Oryctolagus cuniculus: one gene and its partners. The protein of the gene in region 1 purifies or fractionates together with the protein of each later gene. This does not show direct contact. Links are inferred from orthologs where the notes say so. Each region holds a gene or a part of one and is shown on either strand. Other genes may lie near its edges.

Region 1 (4,292 bases):
AATGTGGATTGCCAGCGTGGTTTAAAAATGACGGTGGCTACAGTGGTGACCTGCAAAGTGGAGCACTTCCTGGGAAATTATTATCCTTCCCAAATAGAGCTTTCCTTTATTTATTTTGCCAGTAAAGTTTAGCATGTTAGTGAAATGTCTGTGGATGGAAAGCCAAACTGAGTCCAGGCTATGTGTGAAAAAGCTTCGCCAGCAAAGGTGTAAACTCCTTGCACCCCTGTAGAGCCAGACTTGTTTCATGGAGACCTGGAACAAGGTGTTTGAAAAATTCCAAAGTGGGTGGGAACCTTGAGAATGTTTTTCCTAATGAACAGACTTTTAGAATACATGCAAGAAAAAGACCATAAAGCATAATTCAGTCCTCTAGAGAGTTCCTTAGATTTGACAGATATTTAACAGCATCCACTCTGGGCTGGGCACTACTTAAGGTAGTTTTTTCCTTTATACATTTGGAGGGGTAGTAAGCAGCTATAAAGACATATAAGTCACATATTAAGATGTAATTCACTGTTCAAGGTGTATACTGATTTTTAGTCTATTCAGAGTTGGCTTGCCATCATAATTTTAAAACATTACACCCCTTCAAAAAGAAATCATTACCCTTTGGCTATCAGCCTCCTATCAGGAAGCAACTATTAGCCTACTTTTGTGTCTATGCATTTTCCTATTCTGGACATTGCTATCAATGGAATCACAGTATTTGGACTTCAGTGTCACTGCTCTGATTTCGAATGCTTTCAAGATTTGTGCATATTGTAGCCTATATCAATTTTCATTTTCATCTTTGAATAATATTCCACTGTGTTGATTTCTCACATTTATCCATTCATTGTTTGATGGAGATTCCGGGTTCCCACATTTGGGTTACCGGGAGTATGGTGCTGTTATTTGTATGAGTTTTGTATGGATACAAGGTTTTCATTTCTCGGAATTGCTAGGTCAAATGGCCACTCTGATTTTTAACTTTGAGGAAGCGAGGAGACTTTTTTTCCAAAGTAGTTGCACCATGTCAGTATTCTCACTTGCACATTTTTATTTCCTGCCGAATCAGGTTGTTTCTAGAGTCTACTAGTAAACACTTAAGACTGTTTAACATTCCTTCTTTTGGGGGGATCTTTTACACCCCAAACACCACCTCCCTATTTGGACACCAGTTAAACTGCTAGGCCCACAGTGGTGCTCAGGGCTAACTACAGGGCAAGTGGCCGGTCCGCGGGCACTGTGGCCTGGCCAGGACTGCACGCCACTAGCGGCGGGCCTGAGCCTTGCCGGGGCTCCGGCTGGAGCAGATTCCCTCTGCGTCTGCCGGCCCGGCCCAGCGGGGCTGTCGGTGCAGGACGCGGGGAGCCAGTCCCCAGGGCCTGAAGCCCGGGCCTACCCCCACGAGGCGGCGGCGCGAGCGCTGGAGGCAGGGGGTGGGGGGACGAAGGCCGCGCCCCCGCGCCCGGCCCGCCCGCGTCCCGCTGGGGGCGGCGGCCCGCCCCGAGCCCGCCGAGGCTCTTCCGCGCCGGCAGGGGCAGCAGCGGGAGCGGCGCTGGGCGGAGCGGCGCCAGCAGCCAGGAGCGGCCCGGCCCGGCCCGGCGGTGGCAGCGGCAGCAGCGACGCCAGAGCCCGTGGGCGCCGTTTGTGAGGCTGCCACAGGCGCCTGGCCACAGCGCGGGGAGGCCTGGGGTCCGGAGGCCGCCGCTGCCGCCATGCCGCTGCTCTTCCTCGAGCGCTTCCCCTGGCCCAGCCTCCGCACCTACACGGGCCTCAGCGGCCTGGCCCTGCTCGGCACCATCGTCAGCGCCTACCGCGCCCTCAGCCAGCCCGAGGCCGGGCCCGGCGAGCAGGAGCCGCTAACGGCCTCGCTGCAGCCCAAGGCGCCCGCGCCCGCGGGGCCTGGCCCCGAGGGACCCCGGGCCCGCGACGTGGCCCAGTACCTGCTTTCGGACAGCCTCTTCGTGTGGGTAAGCGACGCTGCCCGGGCCCGCGGGGCAGGAGCGGCCTGGGGGTGGGGGTGGGGGCCGCCATGTCACCCATTATTCGTGGGGGGCGTGACGGCGCTTAGGGGTCCCCTGACTCCCGCGCCGCCGTGTGCGGGCCCGGGGGGTGGGTGGGGGGCGGGGCCGGGCGGCGGGGGGCTCCCTGGAAGGAGAAGGGTGAGGTTTGAGGGTTGGCCCGCGGGTGTGGAGGTGATGGGCTCCCCGGGGCAAGGCCGAGTTTGGGGGTTCGAGGAAGGGGGCTGGGGAGGCGGAGGGGCGGTGCTGAGAAGCATGGCTGGCCCGGGGAGGAGGACGGGGGGCCGAGGGCTGAGGTGCCGGCGTCCGGAAGGGGTGGAAGGAAACGCCGACTGGTAGGGTCGGGGTTTCTGAGGGGCCCTGAGGGGTACCCGGAGGCCTAGAAGGGCAGGTTCAAGGGGAGCCGGAGCCGGGCGCGCGGCTCCCCGCCCGCGTGCTGGGCGGTGCGGGGAAGTTGAAGCGCCGTTCCCTCCTCGCGTGGCGGTGCTCGAGCGGGAGGGCAGGGACGGGGAAGGGGGACGCCGAGCGCAGGGCGTGTTTGTGCATTCCCGTCGGGAGAGAGGCGCTCCTCAAAACTTTTTGTGCCTTTAGTGTTTTGCTTGTCCTCTTTGGGCGCTGTTTGATGTAACAAACCTCAGACAAACGGTGCTTCCTGTCCTGCTGCTCGTACCTGACGATTCGTGACGGTTTCCTTTGATGTCCGAAGGCAGCAAACATTCAGAGTGAAGAGGCACGCCGCTCATTCTCACTCAGAAGTTCTCTTTTTGGGGGCTCCATTTTAAAGCAAGGTTTCCAGTTCGTCTGCCCCTGCAAGATAAGCAGCATTTCAAGGTGTCCATGCTGGTTTCGGTTACGAGAACGATGACTTCAGACTGCTAGAGCAACAGTTCTGTTGTTTTGGCTAAAGAATTTTGCTTTCGCCTTGGTCTTGAATACCTCTTCTTGTAAACCCCACAGTAAGGAGGAAAGTTGCTCCAGGATTTAGTCTGTCGCTTGGATTTAGTATGGTGTCTTGAGTCTTGTTTGCCTCTGCAGATCTCTCATTTGGGGGAAAGAGTAGGCTGGAAACGAGGGAGAGATTAATATTCCAAGTTTGTAGAGTGATATGCAACTCATTGGTTCTAATTATTCCCACTGTGCTTCATCAGGAAGCAGTGGGATTTGTGAACTCTGGGGGCTGTGAATTAAGCAGAGTTTAATAGAAGGCAGTGAAGGGTGAAGTTCTGGGTGAAGCTCAGTCATACCGACCATAGAGGGAGAAGAGAACTCACATCTCTTAATTTCGAGCCTGGTTTTGCATTTGAGTTAGCAGGTAAACAGCTAAGCGATGTGAAGAGTGCTTTTGCCAGCTGTTAAGATTATGATGTAGTCTTTGATATATTTTTTCATTCTACGATATAAGTAAGCCTTTGAGAAGGAACCACCATTGTATTTAAACAACTGCAAGTATTGTTTAATGACTTTTCCCCCCAGAAGTTTCTTCTTACCATACCAGGGTTCAACTTTCAAGGTTAATATCTCTTCATAAAACATTACAGAAAGCCTTTTGCTTTTTCTGTGGAAATTATTTTTCCTAGAGGTATTAATTTATGCAGATTTGCCACTTTTTCCTCCCTCTGGGTAGTATTTCCAGTTCTCAGTGGATCCTCATTCTGATTTTCTCCCATCTTTCCTGTGGGATTTTCCTGTGTCCTTGTGTGCCTCCTTGCCTTCTCAACCCTTCACGTGTGCACTAGGAGTGCTCTCCATCGCTCATTGCCTGTCCCTGTGCAGCTGAGTGGAAGGTAGGGTCTCAGAAGCCTTCCCCATTGTTACCCAACAGATACCAGTATTGAGGAAACGTGGGCGGCTTTTGTCAGCAAGGATGCTCCTGGGCCCTGCTCATAGGCATTCAGATGAAATTTTTCTAAAACACAGCCAAGGCCAAGGAAGACAAAACAAAACCTGATCCTTCTGCCAGTTAGCAAATCCTGCTAGCTCTTATTTAGAATATTGCAACCTCTAAAACTTATTTTTTGTTGGAATACAAGTTAGAATAATATGGGCCTGAGCATTTCAGGAGGTTTTTGATTAACAAATTCAATTCAGAACCTTTCAGAAGGGCCCTTCTGGGTACTCTGGAGGGCATAGGTTTCCCCTACTGTCAAAATGCTACAAATAACAAGACAAAATTTCGTGATAATAGATGCATAAACAAAACATGATGGAGTTTGGAGGAAAGAGAAATTCTGCCTAGGAAAGACCTCAAGGAAAGTCTTTGAATGAAGGATGTTTGAATCCAGC
Region 2 (3,500 bases), on another chromosome or scaffold:
CTTGCAAATTGAGGCCAGTCTGTGGGCATATGACCCGGCCTGTCCGAGTCGACTCAGCGAAACTGTGAGTGTCTCACCATGGGCCCAGCAGGGACCTGTCAGAACTGCGTATGTCTTGTGGCCCCAGCTTTTCATGGCCACTCACCTTTTCATTGTAAAGTGGAAGTCACAGTTGATGCAAATAGATAAGTTATGAAGTCATTTCGGTGTTGCACTTTAGAAAATATGACCATTGAATATTAAAAAATTAACTGTCCGTTTCATTAATATGGCTAGGTAAATCCTTGCTTGATTCACTTCTGTGCTTACTGAGACATGTTTAACTCAACCAAATAACAGTATTTTGTTTTGAAACTTTTCAGAACAGAGTGATATTTGGTGGAGATTACTTAATGAGAACAGAGTATAAAATTAGCCTTAATTTAAATATTATGTTGTAGCTGATAAACTTTCTAGTTAAAGGACTAGTTTGGATAATAATACTGGTGATTACCACATGCAACTAATATCCTTTTGAGCTCATGTATTCTAATACTGTCCCCTTTTCTCTCAAACAGCTGTTGTTGGCTTGCTGTACCCCTGTATCGACAGTCACCTTGGAGAACCCCACAAGTTTAAGAGAGAGTGGGCCAGCGTCATGCGTTGTATAGCAGTTTTCGTTGGCATTAACCACGCCAGTGCTGTATCCTTAAGTCAATGTGCTGTGTCCAAACTATTTCCTTCGGTTACATGCTGAAGCATTTTGTTATTTCTATTGAATATATAGTATTTATTACATCATGCAAGTATTTTATTTTAAAGTACATTACTTAGTTTATGCCTGGTAGGATTTGTATGGGATAGTTTCTAGAGTCTTTTCAGTTTGTTTAGGGAAACAGTTGGAAATAATACCAGTAGTAGAGGGAGCTTACTTATTCTCTCCTTTCTCAGACAGTTCTCTTTTGGATCTTAGGAGTTCATTTTTTTTTTTTTTAATTCATCTTTATGTTTCTGTGTTACATCCTTCCAGTGTGAGACTTGGTGACTCCTAAGGCAAAGAGAGAACTGGCAAGAGGCAGGAGTGTTGATATTCTTGCTACATCTTTCCAGAAGGCTCTGTGTCTTGCCTCTCTGTCCACATAAGTCCAAGAGCCAGTCACAGATGGCTCTTGAACTTCTGGCATGCACAGATGAAATTCATTCTATAGAATATTCTGTGTACCTAATGCATTTTTTTGAGGAAAACAGTCTGTAGTTCCATCATCTATGGTCAGGCTATGAGTTTCTTTAGAGCAACTTGGAGAGAGAGACATTTTTAGAGATGTCAGTCCTAAAATCTGCCCACCTGCTGTTTTAAAGGTATATAAGAGCTCTTGTAGGAGCAGTGTTGATAAGAAGTATTGTAATGACCAGCTGTAAGTGTTTAATGTACTAGAGTGCTGTGGGCCAGATGTCATAGTGTAGGCATGAAGATAGTGCTTGCTAAAAACAGAAGAATGAGAGTACAGATGACTTATTACCAAAATGTATTGTTTTATGGACAAAATAACAGCAGAGTTTTATACATAGCTTTCAGAAAGTTTGCCCTTAAAGCATTTGACTCAGTAATCCCGGGGAATCAATCAGCACAAGCCCCTTTTTTAACTCAATATGCAATATTTATGAATAGTGAATGATTCATTATGTAGTAGTAGTCCACAAGTACTTCATGATTTTATTTTTTGTTTTGATTTCATTAAAAATTTTTTAACTTTTCCTTAATGTTAGCATCACCAGAAATTGGATTTTGCCAATAATGTTCAGCTGTCCTTGACTCTGGCAGCCCTGTCATTGGGCCTTTGGTGGACATTTGATCGTTCGAGAAGTGGCCTTGGGCTCGGGATCACTGTAGCCTTTCTAGCTACTCTGATAACACAGTTCCTCGTGTATAATGGTGTCTATCAGTAAGTGTGTGTTTTCAGATATTACAGTTTATAACATTGTTGTTGCATTGGTTTTATAAAAGCACCCATGAAGCCTAGGAGTTTTTTGTGTGTTTGGTTTTTATGTAGTATGGCATAGATTTAGACATGAAATTCTCAAAAATGCTGCTGATGCATTTTAAAAATACACTTCTGTAAACTACCCTTAAGGGAAATTAAGTGGTAGTGCTGGGATGTGATAATGTGCAATTGTTTTATGATTAAATGCATTTTGCACATCCTCATCACAGATCTTTGACTCAGAATTGAACTGGGTGACACTGACTGGTAAGGCACAGACCTTCTCTCTCCCCGCTTTCCTTCCAGGTATACATCCCCAGATTTCCTCTACATTCGTTCTTGGCTCCCGTGTATATTTTTCTCAGGCGGTGTCACAGTGGGGAACATAGGACGGCAGTTAGCAATGGTAAGTGCGATGATCAAGCATCTCCCAACACTGGAGATTTTTTTTTTTTTTAGCTTGTATGGATTGTTTTACTTGATACATTATAATTAGGGTTCATAAATATCTAGTTCCGACTCAAGAGCAGCAATTATTTTAGGAAAGTCTATGTTGAACAAAAGATGTGATGGTACCCACGTGGTTCTTTGCTACATTATAAAGCTTCGCAGGTCTGGAGACTTAAATGATATTTGAGCTAGAAGAAGCCAGGGTTCTAGTGCAGCTCCTCCTATTACATACGTGTCTTACAGCTTTTCTAGATTCACATAACCAGTGTGGTAGCCAGCAGAGAAGTGGCTAAAGGTGTCTGATGAGTTTCTCTCCTTCCTGCAGTATCAGAAACAAATCTGGATGATCTTAGGCCATGACACCTTGCTCCCCCAGCCTCTGACAACCAGCGTTTCTTTTTTAACAAAATCAAGAGTGAGTCCAGGTGATGCTGAGGGGACTCCGCGTGCCTCAGTCTGCTGGCAGGGGCGCAGGGAGCCTGTGGCTGCAGACCACATCTCAGGCCAGGGCCGGGGAGCGGGGAGCTGGGGCACAACAGGCAGCTGGGGGCAGGCAAACATCGCCCTTTTGGGGGGCAGGTGTACTGGGGCACAGAAAAGAGGACATTCAGCACATGGTGAGCCTTGCACCTGTTCTTGCTGAGAGAGAAGTGCTACCTCCTAGGACACACCTCCTGAGAGAGGGGGAAAGGCAAATGAGTTCAAGGATAATTTTAGCAGTTTTTCTCAGTAGCTATAAATTGACATTTGAGCTTTTTCACTTAAAAAAATTAAATGCAGACATTTAAAGATTGTTTTGAGTTGACCTTGACTCAAGGGCTTACATAAAGTGAGCTTAAAAAAAAAAGTTTGCTAGAACTGTCGCTCTCGGAGATAAACTCTGAGGATTTCTCAGAAGACTTATCTTGGTGCCTTGTGCTATTTTTAAAATGGTACATTTGTGCCAGTTGATACCCATTTGTGAGAAGTTGAACTTGAAGGCCACTTGGCTCTTTCACAAAAATAGAAGTCATTTCAAAAGGGTAGAATTTGTATAGTGTTCACTGGTTTACCGAGTCTAAAAAAATCGGCCTTTTGTGCCTTGGTGTT
Region 3 (3,500 bases), on another chromosome or scaffold:
AGCAGAGCAGCCGGGACTCGAACCAGCACTCTGATGTGGGATGCTGGCTTCACAAGCAGCCAGTTAACCTGCTGAGCCACAGTGGCCTCCCCTGCAGTTAACACATGTGTGTACTTTCTATAAATAGGTCATTTACTTTAGATGCGTGATCGGGGTCTACATTGTGAGATACAAATGCTTCATTGGTGGTGCTGTGTACTTCTTATTGCATCATGTCAGAGGCGTTGTTAAGATTGATCAGTGAACCTGGATACATAGTTCTTAATTTTAAAAAATCTTTTTAAACAAGGACACTCAAATGGGTTGGTTCCTAGGCTCCTTGAGCAGGAATGATAAGGAAAGGCCACAGTGTGGCCCCCCCAAAACAGACTGCACCCCAAGGTGTGGAGAGCAGATGTGTTGGAGAGGGGAAGCGTAGGGTCGGGGAGGAGGTCTTGGAGCCAAGGCCTGCAAGGCACCGGTGCTGCCAGCAACCTGCTGCCCTTCTGGGACATCATGTAAAATGATGTAACTGCGTGAAAAAGTGGCGGCGAGCCGGCCTCCTCTCCCTGCTCCAGGCGGCGAGCTGCTGCTTTGCTGAGGCAGGTTCCTGAGTGCAGTGCTCTCGTCTACCGCGGGAAGGGAAGGCAGCTTCCAGGTCTGCAAGGGCTGCAGCTCGTTGGTCCCTACCCCCTGCACTCTGGGAGCTGACATCAAGGTGGCCTTCAGGTGCTCCAGTGGTGAGTCCTAGACCTGCGGAGGCGAGAAGATGTGGAGCAGCACAGTCAAGGGGCTGGCGGGGGCACCCCGGAGACCAGGGAGTCTAATGCCTCATTTTACAGATCAGGAAAAGGTGGCCGGGGGTGGGAAGGGGAGGTCCCCAAACCACCTGGCAAGCTGGAGGCTCCGCTGAGGCCAGCATTCAGGCCTCAGTTCTCTAACGATGGCAGCCAACATTGCTTTCTTAGAATTTCTGGGATGTTGAGGGGACCAGCTGAGGATCCTTCATGTGCACCCAGAATTTTGAGCATCCCTTGGTCTTGGTCAGCTCCTGGCTGGGTTCTTCAACTTGGAGGTGGTGGTCAACAGTGGTCTCTCTCTAGCAGCCTTTGGCGGTCAGCTGGTCTGTGGTGGTACAGTGGCTTGAATACAAATGTGGTTCAGCTCCGCATGAGTCAGCCAGCCAAGGTAGCTCAGGCTGCAGTTTCCAAAAGAGGCTGGGCCAGAGCAGGATTTCCCGAAGCAGATTATGAGCGTGCCAGATACTTCAGGTGGTGTGAGGATAAATAGCTTTTCCTTGTTACATTAATCCTTGTTTTCCACTTATGGTAGAGGTAGTACTGGTTTTCCATTTAATTTCTATCCATTACAATGATATAAGCCTCTTCTTTAAATGTATTGAAGCTTAAAACAAAATGTGGATAGATTTAGACGAAATAATGTAGGTGATATTCCAACGTGGCAGAAAAGACAGTGAAAAAGATCACAGTGTGAAAAACACTGGACCGGATGAGCCTTCTGGTCCTTCCTAGTAACCTCCTCGGTTTTCACCGCTACAGGCATGTCTTCATAGTCTGGCACGTGCCAGTCACAGCCCTCCTGCCTGAGCAGAGTTCATTGCTAGTATTGGAGGCTGTCCACAATTAGAGGACAGCCTGAACTTTCCGTGGAATTGAACATATATTTATCACCTGGGTTCTCAGAGGAGCATGTGAAGATAACTCAGACAGGGTCCTGGTTCCTGTGGAAGGCCATCTGCAGGGTTTTTGTACAGGGGTCTTCAAAAGGCTCCTGAAAGTGCATATATTAGTAAGCTGCACGTATTTCAGAAACTTTACTGCACTCAAATAAGCTTTTCGTATTTTTCCGTTAACTTGTTGACGTATATGTGCGGTTGATATATTTGTGTAGTGTATTCGGGGCCATGTTCATGGGAAGTTTCGGAGTCGTTGCCCTTTGGGTAGTGTCCCACAACTGTTGTCCTTTGCAGACCCTTGGAAGTCTACCCAGGGCCGCAGGCACAGCCGGAGACTGGAGTTGAGAGAAGACGTGTTGGACGGGGGTGGTTTGGCATGGAAGGCAGGGGGTGTGGGCTGCAGAAGTGGGTAACCAAGGGCTCTCTGCCTTTCAGGATTTCCCTGGCAGAATCTTCACCAAAAACTTTGCTGACAGCCAAGGATGGCGAGCAAGGGGCCGTCGGCCTCTGCATCCCCTGAGAACTCCAGCGCAGGGGGCCCCAGTGGGAGCAGCAACGGCGCTGGGGAAAGCGGAGGGCAGGACAGCACCTTCGAGTGCAACATCTGCCTGGACACAGCCAAGGATGCCGTCATCAGCCTGTGTGGCCACCTCTTCTGGTCAGTACCCGCTGCCCCAGAAAACATGGTGCTGCGTTTGGGGGGCTGGTAGCCCTGGAAGCCTTGGAGCAGAAGACCTCCCGCCCATTTTGGGTCCTGTTAGACTCGGACCCCACAGGGCCTGCTGCTGAGCTAGATGACCTTGGGCAGATCATGCTCCTTCTCCTTTCTAGAGTAATGACACTCACAACCTTCTTAAAAAAGATTGATTTAGGCCGGTGCTGTGGCTCACTTGGCTAATCCTCCGCCTGCGGCACTGGCACCCCGGGTTCTAGTCCTGGTTGGGGCGCTGGTTACTAGTCCCAGTTGCTCCTCTTCCAGTCCAGCTCTCTGCTGAGGCCCAGGAGGGCAGTGGAGGATGGCCCAAGTGCTTGGGTCCCTGCACCCATATGGGAGACGGGGAGGAAGTACCCAGCTCCTGGCTTCGGATCGGCACCGTGCCGGCCATGGCAGCCATTAGGGGAGTGAACCAACGGAAGGAAGACCTTTTTCTCTGTCTCTTTCTCACTGTCTATTACTCTCTCTCTGTCTCTCTCTCTCACTGTCTAACTCTGCCTGTCCAAAAAAAAAAAAAAGATTGATTTATTTGAAAGGTAGAGTTAACAGAGTAAGAGGGAGAGACAGAGAGATCTAACATCCGCTGGTTCACTCCCCAGATGAACGCAACAGCCAGCACTGGGGCCAGGCTGAAGACACCTGAGTCACCCATGTGACAGGGGCCCAAGCACTTGGGCTATCTTCCACTGCTTTCCCCGGGCACGGTAACAGAGGGCTGGATCAGAAGTGGGGCAGTTGGGACACGCACCAGCACCCATATGGGTGGCGGCATCACAGGCAGCAGCTTAAGCTGCTACGCCACAACACTCACCATTTTGTGAGCACCTGCTACCTGTACTTTGCTTGCTTAGCCTATAGCAGTGTGGCATGGTAGTTATGAGCAAGGACTGTATGCCATAATTCAGAAGATGTCTCCTTCTGAATCGTGGCTCTGCCACTTTCCTGTGGATGAACTTGGGCAAGATGCTTACATGCACTCTCCCTAATTTTACTCAACTGTTTATGAGTATTAAAAGACTTGAAATATGTAAAAGGCTTAGAGGAACACATAGCATGGAGAAAATACTGTGTCAGCAATACCCATAGTAATTGTTACTGTAGCTGTTTTTT
Region 4 (3,500 bases), on another chromosome or scaffold:
AATCTTACATTTACCTTTGGATTTTAAAAGAAAGGAAAAAAGTTCATAGAAAAGTCTCTGAAACACACACAGAATGTACAGTAATAATGTCATCTCTTCACGTGATGCAGCAGAGTTCATGCGAAGACCTGAGACTGCAGTCCTTACTTACAAAGGCCTATTTGTTAACTGGCCCTTAGTTGGCAGCTGGGAACCTGGATTTGGGGAGGGTCCCTGGCATCCCCTGAATTGATACAAGAAGCTCACGGTCCCTAAACCATTGACATAAACAATGTGGTTTACCCTGAACATCTGCTTTTCTCCTGGGAGACAGGAATTTTAGTATCGGTTGGCAGAGGGTACACCTATGTGACCAGACCTCAACAACACTCACAGCACTGAGTCTTGTTTTTTTTAAAGATTTATTTATTTATTTGAAAGTCAGAGTTACACAGGGAGGGAAAGAGAGACAGAGAGAGAGGGAGAGGTCTTTCATCTGCTGGTTTACTTGCCAGATGGCCAAAATGGCTGGAGCTGCGCCAATCCAAATCAGGAGCCAGGAGCTTCCTCCAGGTCCTCCCATGCAGATGCAGGGGCCCAAGGACTTGGGCCATCTTCTACTGCTTTCCCAGGCCATAGCAGAGAGTTGGATTGGAAGTGGAGCATCTGGGACTTGAACCAGTGCCCATATGAGATTCGGGCACTGCAGGCAGTGGCTTTACCTGCTATGTCACAACACGGGCCCCATGTCACAGGGCCAGCCCCAACACTGAGTTTTTTTTTTTTTTTTTTTTTTTTTTTACAGGCAGAGTGGACAGTGAGAGAGACAGAGAGAAAGGTCTTCCTTTTGCTGTTGGTTCACCCTCCAATGGCTGCTGCGGCCAGCACACCGCGCTGATCCGATGGCAGGAGCCAGGTGCCTCTCCTGGTCTCTCATGTGGGTGCAGGGCCCAGGCACTTGGGCCATCCTCCACTGCACTCCAGGGACACAGCAGAGAGCTGGCCTGGAAGAGGGGCAACCGGGACAGAATCCGGCTCCCCAACCGGGACTAGGACTAGAACCCGGTGTGCCGGCGCCGCAGGCGGAGGATTAGCCTATTGAGCCACGGCACCGGCCAAGACTGAGTCTTTAATGAACTTCCTCAGTAGACAACATTTCCCATGTGTTGTCACAACTTGTTACCAGGAGAATTCAATACAACCTGTGTTGACTTCACTGTGAGAGGACTCTTGGAAGCCTGTGTCTGGTTTCCTTCAGACTTTACCTATATGCCTTTTCTTTTTGCTGATTTCACTTTTCATCTTTTGGGTGTAATAAATTGTAGTCATGAATATAACTTTATGCTGAGTCTTGTCAGTCTTCCTACGAAATTACTTGGTGTAGGGGGAGAAGGGGGAATTTGGGGAGCCCAGAAACTAAATTTCCTCAAATTATCTACTAAGTAGTAATAAAGCTAATGTCATTAAGTTAACATAACACAACACAGTGAGTAAATGAAGTTACTCTAATCTCTACCAAGTTATATAATTGCTTTATTATAAACTCAAAAGAAATTATCATAGCATAAGGTATACTACTACAGCATTGATAAATGAGTTTTACAAGATATCCAATAGGCTATTACTTACCAAACAATTCAATGTAAACTTCTTGAAGTGTGTGGGCACTGCAAAACTGGTTCAGCTCATGGTGGATTTTATTGAAGATTAAGGTCTTATCATAATCTGCAGTGTAGTTCCTCACGATATCAAACACTGAAGGAGAGGTACAACCCAGGTTTGTTTCACCCAAAAGCACCCAGGTTTCTCAGATTCAGGATAAATATTAAAGTAATAAACCAAAGGGCTTCAAAAAGTTCATGGAAAATGCATACTATGAATTTCACAATTCTAACTTTCAATGAAGTTTTTGAAATCCCTCATACACATTATGAAAACATAAAACACAACTCAAAAATTTTGATGTGTTTCTTCTGCTCAATTTTCCAGATATCCTTGCATTTGCTTGCAGTACTAATAGATAAACCTCAAATTCCATACTAAGAAGAGCAAACAAAATTTTTATTTTGGTGTCTTTGTGAAGATGAACTGAGAGGCACAGAGTTCAGAGGCACACAGGGAGAATCTAAGACAATTAGTGTAAAGTAAAAGCTTAGGTAAGAAGTAAAGAGGAAGTGAACTAATTAAGGAACAGTGGAGATAAAAGAAGGAAGCAGCTGTAAAAGACTTTTTTTTTTTTTTTTTTTTTGACAGGCAGAGTGGACAGAAAGAGAGAGAGAGAGACAGAGAGAAAGGTCTTCCTTTTGCCGTTGGTTCAACTTCCAGTGGCCGCCGCGGCCGGTGTGCAGCGGCTGGCGCACCGCGCTGATCCGATGGCAGGAGCCAGGTACTTATCCTGGTCTCCCATGGGGTGCAGGGCCCAAGCACTTGGGCCATCCTCCACTGCACTCCCTGGCCACAGCAGAGAGCTGGCCTAGAAGAGGGGCAACCAGGACAGAATCCGGCGCCCTGATTGGGACTAGAACCCGGTGTGCCGGCGCCGCAAGGCGGAGGATCAACCTATTGAGCCACGGCACCGGCCAAAAGACTGTATTTTTAAAAGGCAGTTTTTAAAGACTATAAAAAGACACCAGGTTAGAAGGGAAAGGAACTAATACTGGGCTAAGCTTTAGGTCAGACAATTTATATACATTAGCATGTAATATACCTGCCAAAAATCTCATCTTACATATTAGCAAACTAAGATTTCCTAAAAGAACCTCAGAAATGTCTCAAAAGGTACATACCAAGTCATATCAGAAACTATGCTCTACCTACAAAACTTGCGTTCTGTTTCTTCAGACCCAGCGACTTGCTTCACAGCCTTCCCATACCAGATACTACATGCAAACGGATTCCAGATCACAACTGATGATAGACCATTAACAGACACTGACATTCTTTGGGCATTTTCCAAATGAATTGGTGATTTCAGAGTTTCCTATTTATCTCTGCTTACAGACCCATAAATTCCCTCCCTTCTTCTATTTCCAATCATCTATTCCAATCATTTGTGATGAGCAAAAATAGGTGAAAAAAAAATGAGGGAAATACTTAATCTCTGAAAAACATGATCAAAATCCCTTTGACCAGAATATATATGTTCTCTGCTCTGAAATATTTTCAGTTTTATTCACGGTGATCTAAGTTCTTGATTTAAATAGTACCCATTCTAGGTCTGTGGACTTTTTTTTTTTTTTTTTCCAGGCAGAGTGAACAGTGAGAGAGAGAGAGACAGAGAGAAAGGTCTTCCTTTTGCCGTTGGTTCACCCTCCAATGGCCGTCACGGCCGGCGCATTGCGCTGATCCAAAGCCAGGAGCCAGGTGCTTTTTCCTGGTCTCCCATGCGGGTGCAGGGCCCAAGCACTTGGGCCATCCTCCACTGTACTCCCGGGCCATAGCAGAGAGCTGGCCTGGAAGAGGGGCAACCAGGACAGAATCCGGCGCCCCGACCAGGACTAGAACCTGGTGTGCCGGCACTG
Region 5 (3,986 bases), on another chromosome or scaffold:
CCTCCTCTACTTTTCCCAGGAACATTAGCAGGGAGCTGGATTGGAAGTGGAGCAGCTTGAACTCAAACCACTGCGCATATGGGATGAGGGGCTGCAGGCAGAGGTTTAACCTGCTACACCACAGCACTGGCCCCCAGGTAGATTATTTTCAATCAAGGCTGGCCTGTAAAATCCAGGAGATGAGGTTTCTGTGGCTACAGGATCCCAGAGGAAGGAGAGGAAACCCACAGAGATTAGCTAGACCAGGCCAGGCTGGGACTCAACATCCTTTAAATTATAACACTGTAATGACACAATTTATGTGCCAGGTTTAACACTAGATGAGCAAATATCTACTAAATGGCAAATATTTTACATACATTTAATAAACCATGTAACTTATTCCTCACAATTGAGGTAGGATGAATGTTTTAGAAAAGAAACTTTTTTTTTTAATTTATTTATTTGAAAGAGTTACACAGAGAGAGGAGAGGCAGAGAGAGAAAGAGAGGTCTTCCATCCGCTGTTTCACTCCCACTCCCCAATTGACTGCAACAACTGGAGCTGTAGCGATCCGAAGCCAGGAGCCAGGAGCTTCTTCTGGGTCTTCCACGTGGGTGCAGGGACCCAAGGACTTGGGCCATCTTCTACTGCTTTCCCAGGCCATAGCAGAGAGCCGGATTGGAAGTGGAGCAGCCGGGTCTCAAACCGGAGCCCATATGGGATGCCGACGCTTCAGGCCAGGGCGTTAACCTGCTGTGCCACAGCGCAGGCCCCAAAATTTATTTTCAAAGAGATTTAATAACCCACCCAAGGCCACACTGCCAAGCACACGATAGAGCCTATGCAGGGACAAGGTGGAGAAGGGGGCCAGGGGAAGGCGGAAGCTTGGGGAAGTTATCTTTAGCCAGCCTGGTGAGCAGCCCACGGGTACTGGGCTTTGAGTCCAAGTGGCCTTCTGCCATCCATTCTGACATAAGGGCAAGCCGGGATAGGGGCCACCTGAGTTCCCTAGGGCTCTCATCACTGCATCATCAACACGGGCGCTCTGACGTGCACCTGCTGACGTTGGTGTCTGGAACCACAGATGCCCTGGCTGCTGGCAGCGGAGGAGGCGGCCCCTGCTACCGCCCAAACCTCACAGCCGCCCCCGCCAGCCCCTCAGTGGTCAGGGAACAGCCCGCACAGCACCGCACGTCGGTCCGCAGGGAAGAGGGCGGGGACTGCGCGGCGCGGGACTACAAATCCCACAATGCTCCGGACCGCGACGGCGGGGAAGGAGGGGTGCTTCAGGTGTCTGCGACCTCGGCGCCTCCCGCCCGGAAGTGCCCGAGGGGCCGAGATGGAGCTGGCGGAGCCAGGCGGTGAGTCCCCGCGCCGTGACCGCGCCCACCCCGCCGCCCCAGGACCCAGCCGGGCCCCGCTCGCCCCGCCCCGGGATCGCCCTTGCCCTCCTGCGGCTCTAGGGTGGGGGTGGGGGGCGGGAAGATGGGAGGGGTGATGGAGGAGAGTGAGTGAGAGAGAGAGTGGCGGGGGTGAAGTCCCAGATTCCGGATCTGGGGTCTGGCAGCTGGCTGGGTTTGGAGAGGTTTCTCGAGCAGACGCGCAGTCGGGCCCCCACGGGGGTTGGGGGTTGGGGGTTGAGTGGACCAGGCGGGGGCCGAGTTGGGTGGGTGGCAGCTCTTAGAGGCTCCAGATTGCCCAAGGGCGGAGTTTGACGTTTGGTGTGGGGGAAGCTTTGGGAAGCAGTCCCGTGCCGCGCGCGGGTGCGGTTTGGGTATGGTAAGGGGCGAGGTGAATGGAGCTGTAGAGGATCTTCCCCCTTGGAGAAACTGTATCAACATAAGAGTGGATGAGCGTTGGGGTGAAGTAGATGGAGGAGTAGGTACACTTTGGGATGCAGTAGAATAGAAAAACTTTGGAGGGGCTTGAATTTAAGGGGTGCTCAGAAGGCGATAGGGTTTTGGTGAATTGAGGGGTTGGTTAAGAATAGGGAGTTGTGATTGGATTTGGTGATGGGAAAGGGCAGGAGGAGGCAAGTGTGGGACTACTGGGAGAGCAGTCTGCATTTTGTAAGAAAGCAGAGGGATTGGAAGAGCTGGGGTGGGGTGGGTCAGGAGGCAGAGAGCCAGCCCTTCATGAGATCTTTGTGCTTTTCCAGCATGGTAGCCTGGCGGGCAAGGCAGGTGCCATGGCCCTGATTGAAGGGGTGGGTGATGAGGTGACTGTCCTTTTCGCGGTGCTTGCCTGCCTTCTGGTGCTGGCCCTCGCCTGGGTCTCGACACATACCGCCGAGGGCGCCGACCCCCTGCCCCAGCCATCAGGGGTCGCAACAGCAGCACAGCCCGGTGAAGTTATGGGAGCCACCGCCACCGACAGCGTCAGAGGGGAGTCCCCAGGGGCCGAGACCCCCAGCCTGAGACACAGAGGTCAAGCTGCACAGCCAGAGCCTGGTGCAGGGGTCACAGCAACACCGCCACCCCCGGACTCCCCACAGGAGCCCCTAGTGCTGCGGCTGAAATTCCTCAATGACTCAGAGCAGGTGGCCAGGGCCTGGCCTCACGACACCATTGGCTCCTTGAAAAGGTAAGCAAAGAGATGAGCAGGAGAAACGCCACTGGGAGTGGGGGTGGGAGTGATGGTTTTACCTCCTTGAGGGCCCTCAGCTCCCCGTATCACACCCGACGGCAGGCTGCCCCCTCGGGTGGTGTGTGGGGGCGGGGGGCAGCGCTGTTTTGGGTGAGGGACTAGGATTGCCTGAGGCCTGCTCTCTTACCCAGGTCCCTCTCTCCTCAGGACCCAGTTTCCCGGCCAGGAGCAGCAGGTGCGGCTCATCTACCAAGGGCAACTGCTAGGAGACGACACACAGACCCTGGGCAGCCTTCACCTCCCTCCCAACTGCGTTCTCCACTGCCACGTGTCCACGAGGGTCGGGCCCCCGCATCCGCCCTGCCCGCCGGGGTCAGAGCCAGGCCCCTCCGGGCTGGAAATCGGCAGCCTGCTGCTGCCTCTGCTGCTGCTGCTGCTGCTCCTGCTCTGGTACTGCCAGATCCAGTACCGGCCCTTCTTCCCCCTGACCGCCACTCTGGGCCTGGCCGGCTTCACCCTGCTCCTCAGCCTCCTGGCCTTCGCCATGTACCGCCCGTAGTGCCTCCACGGGCTCTCGGCAGCGTCGCCGGCCCCTCCGGACCTCGCTCCCCAAGGCACAGCGGGAGCTGCTGCCTGCCCAGGCCCGCCTCTCCGGCCTGCCTCTTCCCGCTCCCCTGGAGCCCAGCCTTGCGCCGCAGAGGACTCCGGGAGCTGGCGGAGCCCCCTGCCTGTGACCGCCACGGCTCGGGGCCACCTCCTAGGGCTGCAGGCCCCCAGCCCTCACTGACAGTTGGCTCCTCGGGGTCAGGTACCTGCTGTCGATGCCTTGGCCCTGGGCAAAGCCAGGCCACCCCCCTGGGCCCGTCTTAGTGTTCTGCCTGTGGACCCGGCCATGTGTAGACCCTAACAGCTCCTCGGGCTGGTCTAGGGACGCAAAGACTGCGGTAGGCTGGTGCAGGGGATGGGAGAGGGGCAGAGGTCTATGAAATATGTGCAGATTAAAATAACTGTGAAGTTTTCACTCTTGGCGTGTGTCTGAGTGGGGCTGGGAGGCGGGGAGCCCTTGTTGTCTGGGAGAAAAGGGAGGGAAGGACCGGGACTGGACCCTCGGCCCTGTCCAACCCGCCGGCGACTAACTTCCCTTCTCTGCTCCGGTCGCCGCGGCTTCGGGGTTTGGTTCTGTGGCCCCGCCCCCTAGCCTGGGTCCCGCCCCCGGTGCTGCGCGCGCACTTCCCGGAAGCTGGGGGCGGGGCCCGCGGCGCCCTGGCTCGCAGCGCCTGCCGGGAGCCACGTCTCCGCTGGCCAAGCGCTTCGCCGGGGTTGGCGTCCCGGCGGCGATCCGGGGGCTGCTGGGAAGATGGCGGACTCTGTGGCCCGCGGATGAGGAGGCCGCGGGGGGAACCCGGCCCCCGGGCCCC
Region 6 (4,261 bases), on another chromosome or scaffold:
AGGGGCAACCAGGACAGAATCCAGTGCCCCGACTGGGACTAGAACCCGGGGTGCTGGCGCCGCAGGTGGAGGATTAGCCTAGTGAGCCGCAGCACTGGCCAACAAATGGTAGTATCTTAAAAAGTACTTCCAGGGAGGACCCTGAGGCCTTATCAATGAGCTTCTTGTACTCTGTTCACTAACACCTCTCGGTTTATCTTGCAGCTTGAACTAATCGTTTACCCAGGCATGAATTCATAACCTCATGCATTGGTCAAGTGGAAAATACTGGTTCAGAGTGTTACACAGGTCTTCCACCAGTACTATGGAAAGCTCCACTGTATACTCATGAGTGAGCCGGGGCAGGGTGGGGACAGCATTGTCTTAGCAGTACCACGAAAATAGCTTTGTCCTTTGGGTTCCCTTTTTGGGTCAGAGATCGCCACACCTACACCGAGTCCCCGTCCTATGTAGGCTACAGGCTTTCTCACCAGCGGACAACTTCTGCAAACATAAAGGACAATCGTTTGGTTGCAAAAGATTTGAGCTGGTTAACCTAAGGTTAAATATAAGCTGTATTTCAAGACTGTAAAAAAAATAAATAAATAAATAAATCAAGCCTGAAGAAGGAAAGAAAAAGCACCTATATTTTTGCTTTCTAGATCTAATCAATGTGACTATTCCGGTCCCCTGGAACTTCTACTAAGGGTGCGGGGACTGTGTTAATAAGGGAATCTCAGATTTACATTGGCTCGTACAAATAAATTCATTTTTTTCTTGTTTAAGTATGCTGTACACTTTTGCAGCCTGTCCTTTCATTTAGCCGTGTACTATGGACAATTTCCCCCTATTCTTTGAAAAAAACTTTTTAAACGATTGTATAATAAAATTTTCAGGCTCACACCTATTTTAGATGAAGTGACTTTAGCAAAGAGCAATTTCAGTCAGCAGTGGGAAGAAAACCTAACCTGACAACAGGCAGGGTCTCTGCGCTGGACTCGCCCCGCGCGGGCGGCCTCCCGGGCCGTTAGGGCTTGGTGCGTGCACTCGCGTGGGCCCGACGTGGGTCCGGACAAAGGGGACAGCTGGATAGGCCCGCTGTCCCATATGGAGGGAGCGTCGGCCAGCTCTCCTTCCGTCCGCGTCCAGAGACCTCTCGCCCTTGGCTGGACACCGGAACCCGAGACGGGCTAGCCGGAAAGACTGGGCATGCGTGGGACGCGCCGGGCGTCCCGTCCGAGGAACTGTTAAAGGACCGAGAGGAATCTGCGGCCATCGCGGCTCCTCAGGGTGCGGAAGCGCGGGTGGGCACAGGGGTACGGCTCCTAGGGTTACCCCTGAGCTCCATCTCAGCCCTTTCCTAACTGCAGCCGCAGCCGTCGGAAAACTCCGCACACGCGAACCCCGTCCGCGGCGGACGCACTTCCCCTCCCCAGCAGGAAGGGAGGGCGCAGACCGAGTGGGCGCGCCCCTGAGTCGCGCATGCGCAGTCCGGAGGGCGTCCCCTAGAGTGGCATCACGGCGCCGGATTCACCGCCCCGCCGGGAGTGCGCCTGCGCGGTCGCCGGGGGCTCTCCACCTCCGGTTCCCCTCCCCCTGGTCCCCCGCGGGGGCTCCGAGCCCGGCGGGACCATGTTCACCAGCACCGGCTCCAGTGGGCTTTGTGAGTACCGGCCGCCGCCGTCCTGGCTGCCCCCACACACCCCCCTGAGCACTTCCTTGAGGAGGCTGGGGGCAGCCGAGCCCCTCCGGCTTGAAGGAAGTGGGAGGGCCGACCCTCCATCTCCGAGCCCGTACCTCAGTAGTTGGTGGCCTTGGGGGGCAGCGGGCTCCGCCCCCATCCTGGCTGGCGAGTGGGCTCGGAGTCCCGCCGCCAGCCTCGGCCCCCGCCCGTGAGCCCCCCCGGCGATGCTGGCGGCGGGCTGGGCAGTTGGGGTCAGGCTGGATGCCCCGGTGTTCCGGGGGCCCTGCCCGATGCCCCCGGTAGCGCGTGTGCCAGGCCGAAAGAAGAGGCCGTCCCGGTGGAGGCGGTGCTGGGAGCCTGCCCCCTTCTCGTCACTTTCCCCATTCATTGAGGCCGCCGACAGGCAGAGTGCAGCCCTCGTCAGGCGCTGACCTCCCCGAGTCGGGAGACGCGCTTCTCCCCGGTCTGAGGAGTTTTCGGGCGATTCAAGTGCTTGCGAGTGGAGAGAAGTTTAGGGAGCCTTTGGCCGGAGACCGTGCTCTGCTGCTGGTGTCGCCGTGGCCATCGGGGCGGCAGCGCTGGTCAGAGTGGCGAGGGAACTCCTATTAGCCGTTTAAACAAGGAGCCACTCCAGGGTGTTTAGCTGACTTTGGGTAAAGCGGATCTGTTAGCCGGACAGCCCTGAGGTCGTGCCCTGACTCCAGCAACAGCCAGCTGTTGGCAGCCAGTATTTGAGCAGCTCTTCGCGAAGCTCTGATGTTTCGTTTGCTTGTCTCCGCGGGCGCTTCTTAACTCTATACGTGTGAAGTGAATGTTGTCGGAATACAGGCACCTGTCTGGCGTCCATCAGCGTCGCAGTCCTGTAGTAAAAATGGTGGGGGTCGGCGCCGTGGCTCACTAGGCTAATCCTCCGCCTAGCGGCGCCAGCACACCGGGTTCTAGTCCCGGTCGGGGCGCCGGATTCTGTCCCGGTTGCCCCTCTTGCAGGCCAGCTCTCTGCTGTGGCCCGGGAGTGCAGTGGAGGATGGCCCAGGTGCTTGGGCCCTGCACCCCATGGGAGACCAGGAGAAGCACCTGGCTCCTGCCTTCAGATCAGCGTGGTACGCTGGCCGCGGTGGCCATTGGAGGGTGAACCAACGGCAAAAGGAAGACCTTTCTCTTTGTCTCTCTCTCTCACTGTTCACTCTGCCTGTCAAAAAAAAAAAAAGGTGGGAACGCATGTCTTCGACCCAGAGTGTGTTGGTGTCAGGGCCACAGGCGTGCGTTTACTTCCCCACCTCTCAGGTTGGGGATTTGATTCATAGCATCTTCCATGGATTGGTCCCAAAATGAGTTACATCTCCTAGGTGGTTATAGTCTCCCTACTACCTTTGGGCTGAAAACCATTATGACTGTTGATGGATGGAACTGAAGCTTCAAGAAAGGGATGGAAAAAGGGGTAGAATTCTTCAGGCTTCTTGTTCTTCAGCATTTTGAACTATCCTTGGTGACCAAAAATACATGTAACAATTGAAAAGGCAAGATAAATCTGTTATTGGTTATTAGTGTATTGGCAACTTGTATTCTGAGGAAGGTAATATTTTGTGACCTGTGGCACAATTTATATTTTTTTTATTACTTTGGTGACTGTTGAGTTCTAGGAACCAAATTGCTGCCCAGAGAGAGGCTTAGGCTGCGGGGCCCTCCCCAGCTGTTTTGGCCAGTTTCTGAAATAAGTGTATCCTCAGTGTGAGGGTAGGTGGAATGGCCCTTCTTTAGGAAGCTGGTGCCATGTGCTTATTCAACAAATACTTTGGGCATCTTTGAGGATATTTCAAAAAGTTGGTAGAAAATGGAATTAAAAGATGAGTTGATTTTGGGGGCTGGCAGAATGGCGTTAGCAGGTAAAGCCATCAGTGAGACACCAGCATCTCGTGGGCACAGGTTCATGTCTCTGCCACTCCACTTCTGGTCCAGCTCCCTACTCATGTCCTGAGAAAAGCAGTAGAAGATGGCCCAAGTGCTTGGGCCCCTGCAGTCCATGTGGGAGACCCATTAAGCTCCTGGCTCCTGGCTTCCACCTGGTCATCGTGGCCATGAACTGTAATTCTAACTTTCAAATAAAATAAATATTTTTTTTAAAAGACAAGTGGATTTTAGTATAAAAGTTTTTGAAATCCTTGTATAGTTCTTTCATAGTACCCATTTTTCATGAACTTTTTTTTTTTTTTTAAATTTTTTGACAGGCAGAGTGGACAGTGAGAGAGAGAGAGAGAAAGGTCTTCCTTTGCCGTTGGTTCACCCTCCAATGGCCGCCGTGGCCAGCGCGCTGCGGCCGGCGCACCGCGCTGATCCGATGGCAGGAGCCAGGAGCCAGGTGCTTATCCTGGTCTCCCATGGGGTGCAGGGCCCAAGCACCTGGGCCATCCTCCACTGCACTCCCTGGCCACAGCAGAGGGCTGGCCTGGAAGAGGGGCAACCGGGACAGAATCCGGCGCCCCGACCGGGACTAGAACCCGGTGTGCCGGCGCCGCTAGGCGGAGGATTAGCCTAGTGAGCCACGGCGCCGGCCCATGAACTTTTTGAAGACCCCTTGTGTGTAGGGATTTCAAATTTTTT
Region 7 (3,500 bases), on another chromosome or scaffold:
ACACAGGGATTCATATCGGACGCTACCACATTACTAAATCTTGGCTATACATTTCAAAGTTGAGTGTTTCAATTAGAGAGAGCAATTCTAGGCTTCTAATTGCACAAAGTAGTACTTCTCAAGCCCACTCCAGACAACATATACACTCCAACCCAATTTTGCACTAAATGACAAGGACTGCTCTACAACAGAAATGAATGAGATCATCTAATCAAGTGAGAAGCACACAGCTGAGCCACTAAGAGACAGGCAGGAAACGTAAACCTCTAATATGTTCTTTTTTCAGCTAAAAAAAAAAAAGTGCTACTTATACTTCCTGACATTTTACAGAGTAAAGGACAAACAACTTCAGTGCTTAGCACAGTCCTGGCATTCACTGAGCAAACACAATCATTACGCCATTTCTTACCAAATGCTACCTGCCCTCAAAATTCCTCCAAGAAAAGAAACATATGAATTAGCAAATCAGAAGAAAAAAATATTTACATCTACAGATGACTTACCTGTTTCCAGGCGAGTAGAATACTGATACAAGAAATATAAATTGACCAAATAAAGAAATCCAGTTCCTGGACCCACAGGGAAATAAAAGGTGGCAGTGATTGGCCTCCAAATCTGTCAAAATCAAAATAAAGACATTTGTTAGTTTTTCTAAGCCTGATTAATTTTTTTTCTTTTAACTAAATTAACCTTTGCAAAGCTTTCTCAAAATGATACTACCAACACAATTCAAAACAACTGAAGAAAAGTTCATATAAATTACAATCACATCAATTTGCAAACCAATGGATAAGCAATAAGTATTTCTAAACAAGCTCTTAAAAATCAATGTCTGGCCCTTTGGCACAGCAGGTTAAAGCCACAGCCTGCGGTGCTGGTATCCCATATGGGCACTGGTTCTAGTCCTGGCTGCTCCTTTTCCAATCCATCTCTCTGTTATGGCCTGGAAAAGCAGCAGAAGATGGCCCAAGTACTTGGGCCCCTGCACCCACGTGGGAGACCTGGAAGAAGCTCCTGGCTTCTGGCTTCAAATAATCCCAGCTCCAGCCATTGCAGCCATTGGGGGAGTGAACCAGTGGACAAACGACCCCTCCCCCTCCCCCACTGCTTCTCCCACTCTCTAACTCTTTCAAATAAATAAATATATCTTTAAAAAAAAATCAATGTTATAGAAGTACATGGTTGGGACAGGTGTTGGGGAACATTTAGGCTGCCTGTGTCCTTTATCAGAATGCCAATTTGAATCCCAGCTCCTCTATTCCAATCCAGCTTCCTGCAAATGCATCCTGGAACGCAGCCAAAGACGGGTCATGTGCTTGGGTGCCTGCCACCCATGTGAAGACGTGGATGGAGTTCTGGCGTGGCTCAGCCCTGACTGTGGCAGGCATCTGGGGAGTGAACCAGCAGATGGAAGATCCCTCTTTCTGTCCCTCTTTAAAGTAGATGATGATAAATAAACAAACATTTTAAAAAAGAATTACATCTTTAGTTACTGAGATCATACAACTAAGCCTATGACAAAATGAATTGCAAAGACTTCTTTCCCAACAGTACAATAATTTCATAATATCTCTATTTAGGAATGATAAACCTTATTCAAAAATGTCATACTCAAAAAGAATTTAAACAGGGATTTTTACTAAAAAAAAATTGGCTAAATAGACAAAATGAGCACACATGACATAAAAACCATTACCTGAACAAACAATACAGAAGGATCTGCAGTAAGAAATAAGCCTTGTTAACAACAACTGATGAGGTTTTTGTACCAATATTATTTTCAAAAAGTAACAGGGGGCTGGCGCTGTGGCATAGCAGGTAAACCCACTGCCTGCAGTGCCAGCATTCCATATGGGCACCAGTTCGAGTCCCGCTTCTCCACTTCTGATCCAGCTCTCTGCTGTGGCCTAGGAAAGCAGTGGAAGATGGCACCTGCATGGGGGACCTGGAAGAAACTCCTGGCTCCTGCCTTCAGATTGGCATAGCTCTGGCCATTGCGGCCACCTGGGGAGTGAACCAGTGAATAGAAGACCTCTCTCTAAGGTAGCAACGAGGACAGACATTTGGCCCAATAGATGAGATGCCTGTATCCCACATCAGAATGCCTGGTTTCGAGTCCCAGTTCTACTCCTGATTCCAGCTCTTGTTAATGCATACCTCAGAGGCAGGAGTGATAGTGAAGTAACTGGGTTCCTGCCACCTACGTGGGAGACCTGACTGAGTTCCAAGCACCCAGCTTTGGCCCCAGCCAGGGCATGTTGTGAACACTTGCAGAGTGGATGGAACAGGAGCTCTCTGGATGTCCATTTCTCTCTGTCATCGCTGCCTCTCAAATAAATTAATTAAAACAAAATTAAATGTAAGTAAGTGTATCCACCATTTATCAAGCTTATGAAATATTTTCACTCCAAGAATATCAAAGTGCTCACAGCTTTATTATAGCACTTTTCATAGTTCATCCAAGGAGTAAGGAGGAAATTCACCTTCTTTTTCTAGATGGTCACTCAGTTTCCCATTCCCATTGACAGAGTGTCCCATATTTCCTCCAATTACTTAAAAAAACTACTTTCACTGAATATTTATTCTATTTTATCTTAATGTCTATTTTAGACTATCCTGCTTGAAACTGAGGTCTAGACCAATACCAAGTTGTTTTAATCTAGTTCTATAATAAATTTTAATATCTGATAAAGTTGAATAGTTAAATCTTCCTCCCCTTTTTTATTTATTTATTTGACAGGCAGAGTTATAGACAGTGAGAGAGAGAGAGAGAGAAAGGACTTTCGTCAGTTGGTTCACTCCCCAAATGGCAGCTACGGCCGGTGCTGCGCCAATCCAAAGCCAGGAGCCAGGTGCTTCTCCTGGTCTCCCATGCGGGTGCAGGGGCCCAAGCACTTGGGCCATCCTCCACTGCCCTCCCCGGGCCACAGTGGAGAGCTGGATTGGAAGAGGAGCAGCCAGAACTAGAACCCGGTGCCCATATGGGATGCCGGCGCTGCAGGCGGAGGATTAACCAAGTGAGCCAAGGCACCGGCCCCTCCCTCCCCTTTCTCTTATTATTTTGTCTTATTTTCTCTTACTATATTGTCAATCTTCTTGGTTAGTCTCAATATTTTATTTTTCTGAATGAATCTAAACAATATATTGGTTATATGGACACGATATTGATGTAATTCCCACCCTAGAAGCTTCTCATAGCTTTTTTTTTTTTTTAAGGTTTATTTATTTATTTGAAAGGCAGAGTTACAGAGAGGCACAGGCAGAGAAAGAGGTCTCCCATCCACTGGTTCACTTCCAAAATGGCTGCAACGGCCAGAGCTCAGCTGATCCGAAGCCAGGAGCCAAGAGCCTCTTCCGGTCTCCCACTCGTGTGCAGGGGCCCAAGCACTTGGGCCAGCCTCTTCTGCCCTCCCAGGCGATAGCAGAGAGCTGGATCAGAAGTGGAGCAACCAGGACTCAAACCGGCACCCACACGGGATGCCAGCACTGCAGGCAGAGGC

The links.
Region 2: the proteins of AMFR (region 1) and INSIG1 purify together in Homo sapiens (affinity purification with western blotting; 6 studies listed by BioGRID and IntAct, with this or other methods). This does not show direct contact. The link is inferred for Oryctolagus cuniculus from reciprocal best matches to the Homo sapiens genes AMFR and INSIG1.
Region 3: the proteins of AMFR (region 1) and RNF185 purify together in Homo sapiens (affinity purification with mass spectrometry; 3 studies listed by BioGRID and IntAct, with this or other methods). This does not show direct contact. The link is inferred for Oryctolagus cuniculus from reciprocal best matches to the Homo sapiens genes AMFR and RNF185.
Region 4: the proteins of AMFR (region 1) and ERLIN1 purify together in Homo sapiens (affinity purification with mass spectrometry; 3 studies listed by BioGRID and IntAct, with this or other methods). This does not show direct contact. The link is inferred for Oryctolagus cuniculus from reciprocal best matches to the Homo sapiens genes AMFR and ERLIN1.
Region 5: the proteins of AMFR (region 1) and TMUB1 purify together in Homo sapiens (affinity purification with mass spectrometry; 3 studies listed by BioGRID and IntAct, with this or other methods). This does not show direct contact. The link is inferred for Oryctolagus cuniculus from reciprocal best matches to the Homo sapiens genes AMFR and TMUB1.
Region 6: the proteins of AMFR (region 1) and UBAC2 purify together in Homo sapiens (affinity purification with western blotting; 4 studies listed by BioGRID and IntAct, with this or other methods). This does not show direct contact. The link is inferred for Oryctolagus cuniculus from reciprocal best matches to the Homo sapiens genes AMFR and UBAC2.
Region 7: the proteins of AMFR (region 1) and DERL1 purify together in Homo sapiens (affinity purification with western blotting; 4 studies listed by BioGRID, with this or other methods). This does not show direct contact. The link is inferred for Oryctolagus cuniculus from reciprocal best matches to the Homo sapiens genes AMFR and DERL1.

The regions. Positions count from the first base shown.
Region 1 is NC_091449.1:40,178,867-40,183,158, reverse strand, and holds the start of AMFR (E3 ubiquitin-protein ligase AMFR), read left to right. Parts: upstream 1-1,492; 5' UTR 1,493-1,703; coding exon 1,704-1,958; intron 1,959-4,292. UniProt on the Homo sapiens protein: E3 ubiquitin-protein ligase that mediates the polyubiquitination of lysine and cysteine residues on target proteins, such as CD3D, CYP3A4, CFTR, INSIG1, SOAT2/ACAT2 and APOB for proteasomal degradation.
Region 2 is NC_091438.1:13,099,333-13,102,832, reverse strand, and holds part of INSIG1 (insulin-induced gene 1 protein), read left to right. Parts: intron 1-557; coding exon 558-682; intron 683-1,755; coding exon 1,756-1,922; intron 1,923-2,267; coding exon 2,268-2,367; intron 2,368-3,500. UniProt on the Homo sapiens protein: Oxysterol-binding protein that mediates feedback control of cholesterol synthesis by controlling both endoplasmic reticulum to Golgi transport of SCAP and degradation of HMGCR.
Region 3 is NC_091452.1:24,336,346-24,339,845, forward strand, and holds part of RNF185 (E3 ubiquitin-protein ligase RNF185), read left to right. Parts: intron 1-2,110; 5' UTR 2,111-2,157; coding exon 2,158-2,333; intron 2,334-3,500. UniProt on the Homo sapiens protein: E3 ubiquitin-protein ligase that regulates selective mitochondrial autophagy by mediating 'Lys-63'-linked polyubiquitination of BNIP1.
Region 4 is NC_091446.1:29,940,169-29,943,668, reverse strand, and holds part of ERLIN1 (erlin-1), read right to left. Parts: intron 1,735-3,500; coding exon 1,609-1,734; intron 1-1,608. UniProt on the Homo sapiens protein: Component of the ERLIN1/ERLIN2 complex which mediates the endoplasmic reticulum-associated degradation (ERAD) of inositol 1,4,5-trisphosphate receptors (IP3Rs).
Region 5 is NC_091438.1:22,735,940-22,739,925, forward strand, and holds TMUB1 (transmembrane and ubiquitin-like domain-containing protein 1), read left to right. Parts: upstream 1-1,186; 5' UTR 1,187-1,343; intron 1,344-2,140; 5' UTR 2,141-2,170; coding exon 2,171-2,565; intron 2,566-2,775; coding exon 2,776-3,127; 3' UTR 3,128-3,589; downstream 3,590-3,986. Other genes in the region: FASTK (fas-activated serine/threonine kinase), read left to right, coding at 3,949-3,986. UniProt on the Homo sapiens protein: Involved in sterol-regulated ubiquitination and degradation of HMG-CoA reductase HMGCR. Involved in positive regulation of AMPA-selective glutamate receptor GRIA2 recycling to the cell surface.
Region 6 is NC_091440.1:13,393,923-13,398,183, reverse strand, and holds the start of UBAC2 (ubiquitin-associated domain-containing protein 2), read left to right. Parts: upstream 1-1,461; 5' UTR 1,462-1,611; coding exon 1,612-1,642; intron 1,643-4,261. UniProt on the Homo sapiens protein: Restricts trafficking of FAF2 from the endoplasmic reticulum to lipid droplets.
Region 7 is NC_091437.1:148,811,690-148,815,189, forward strand, and holds part of DERL1 (derlin-1), read right to left. Parts: intron 616-3,500; coding exon 504-615; intron 1-503. UniProt on the Homo sapiens protein: Functional component of endoplasmic reticulum-associated degradation (ERAD) for misfolded lumenal proteins. Forms homotetramers which encircle a large channel traversing the endoplasmic reticulum (ER) membrane.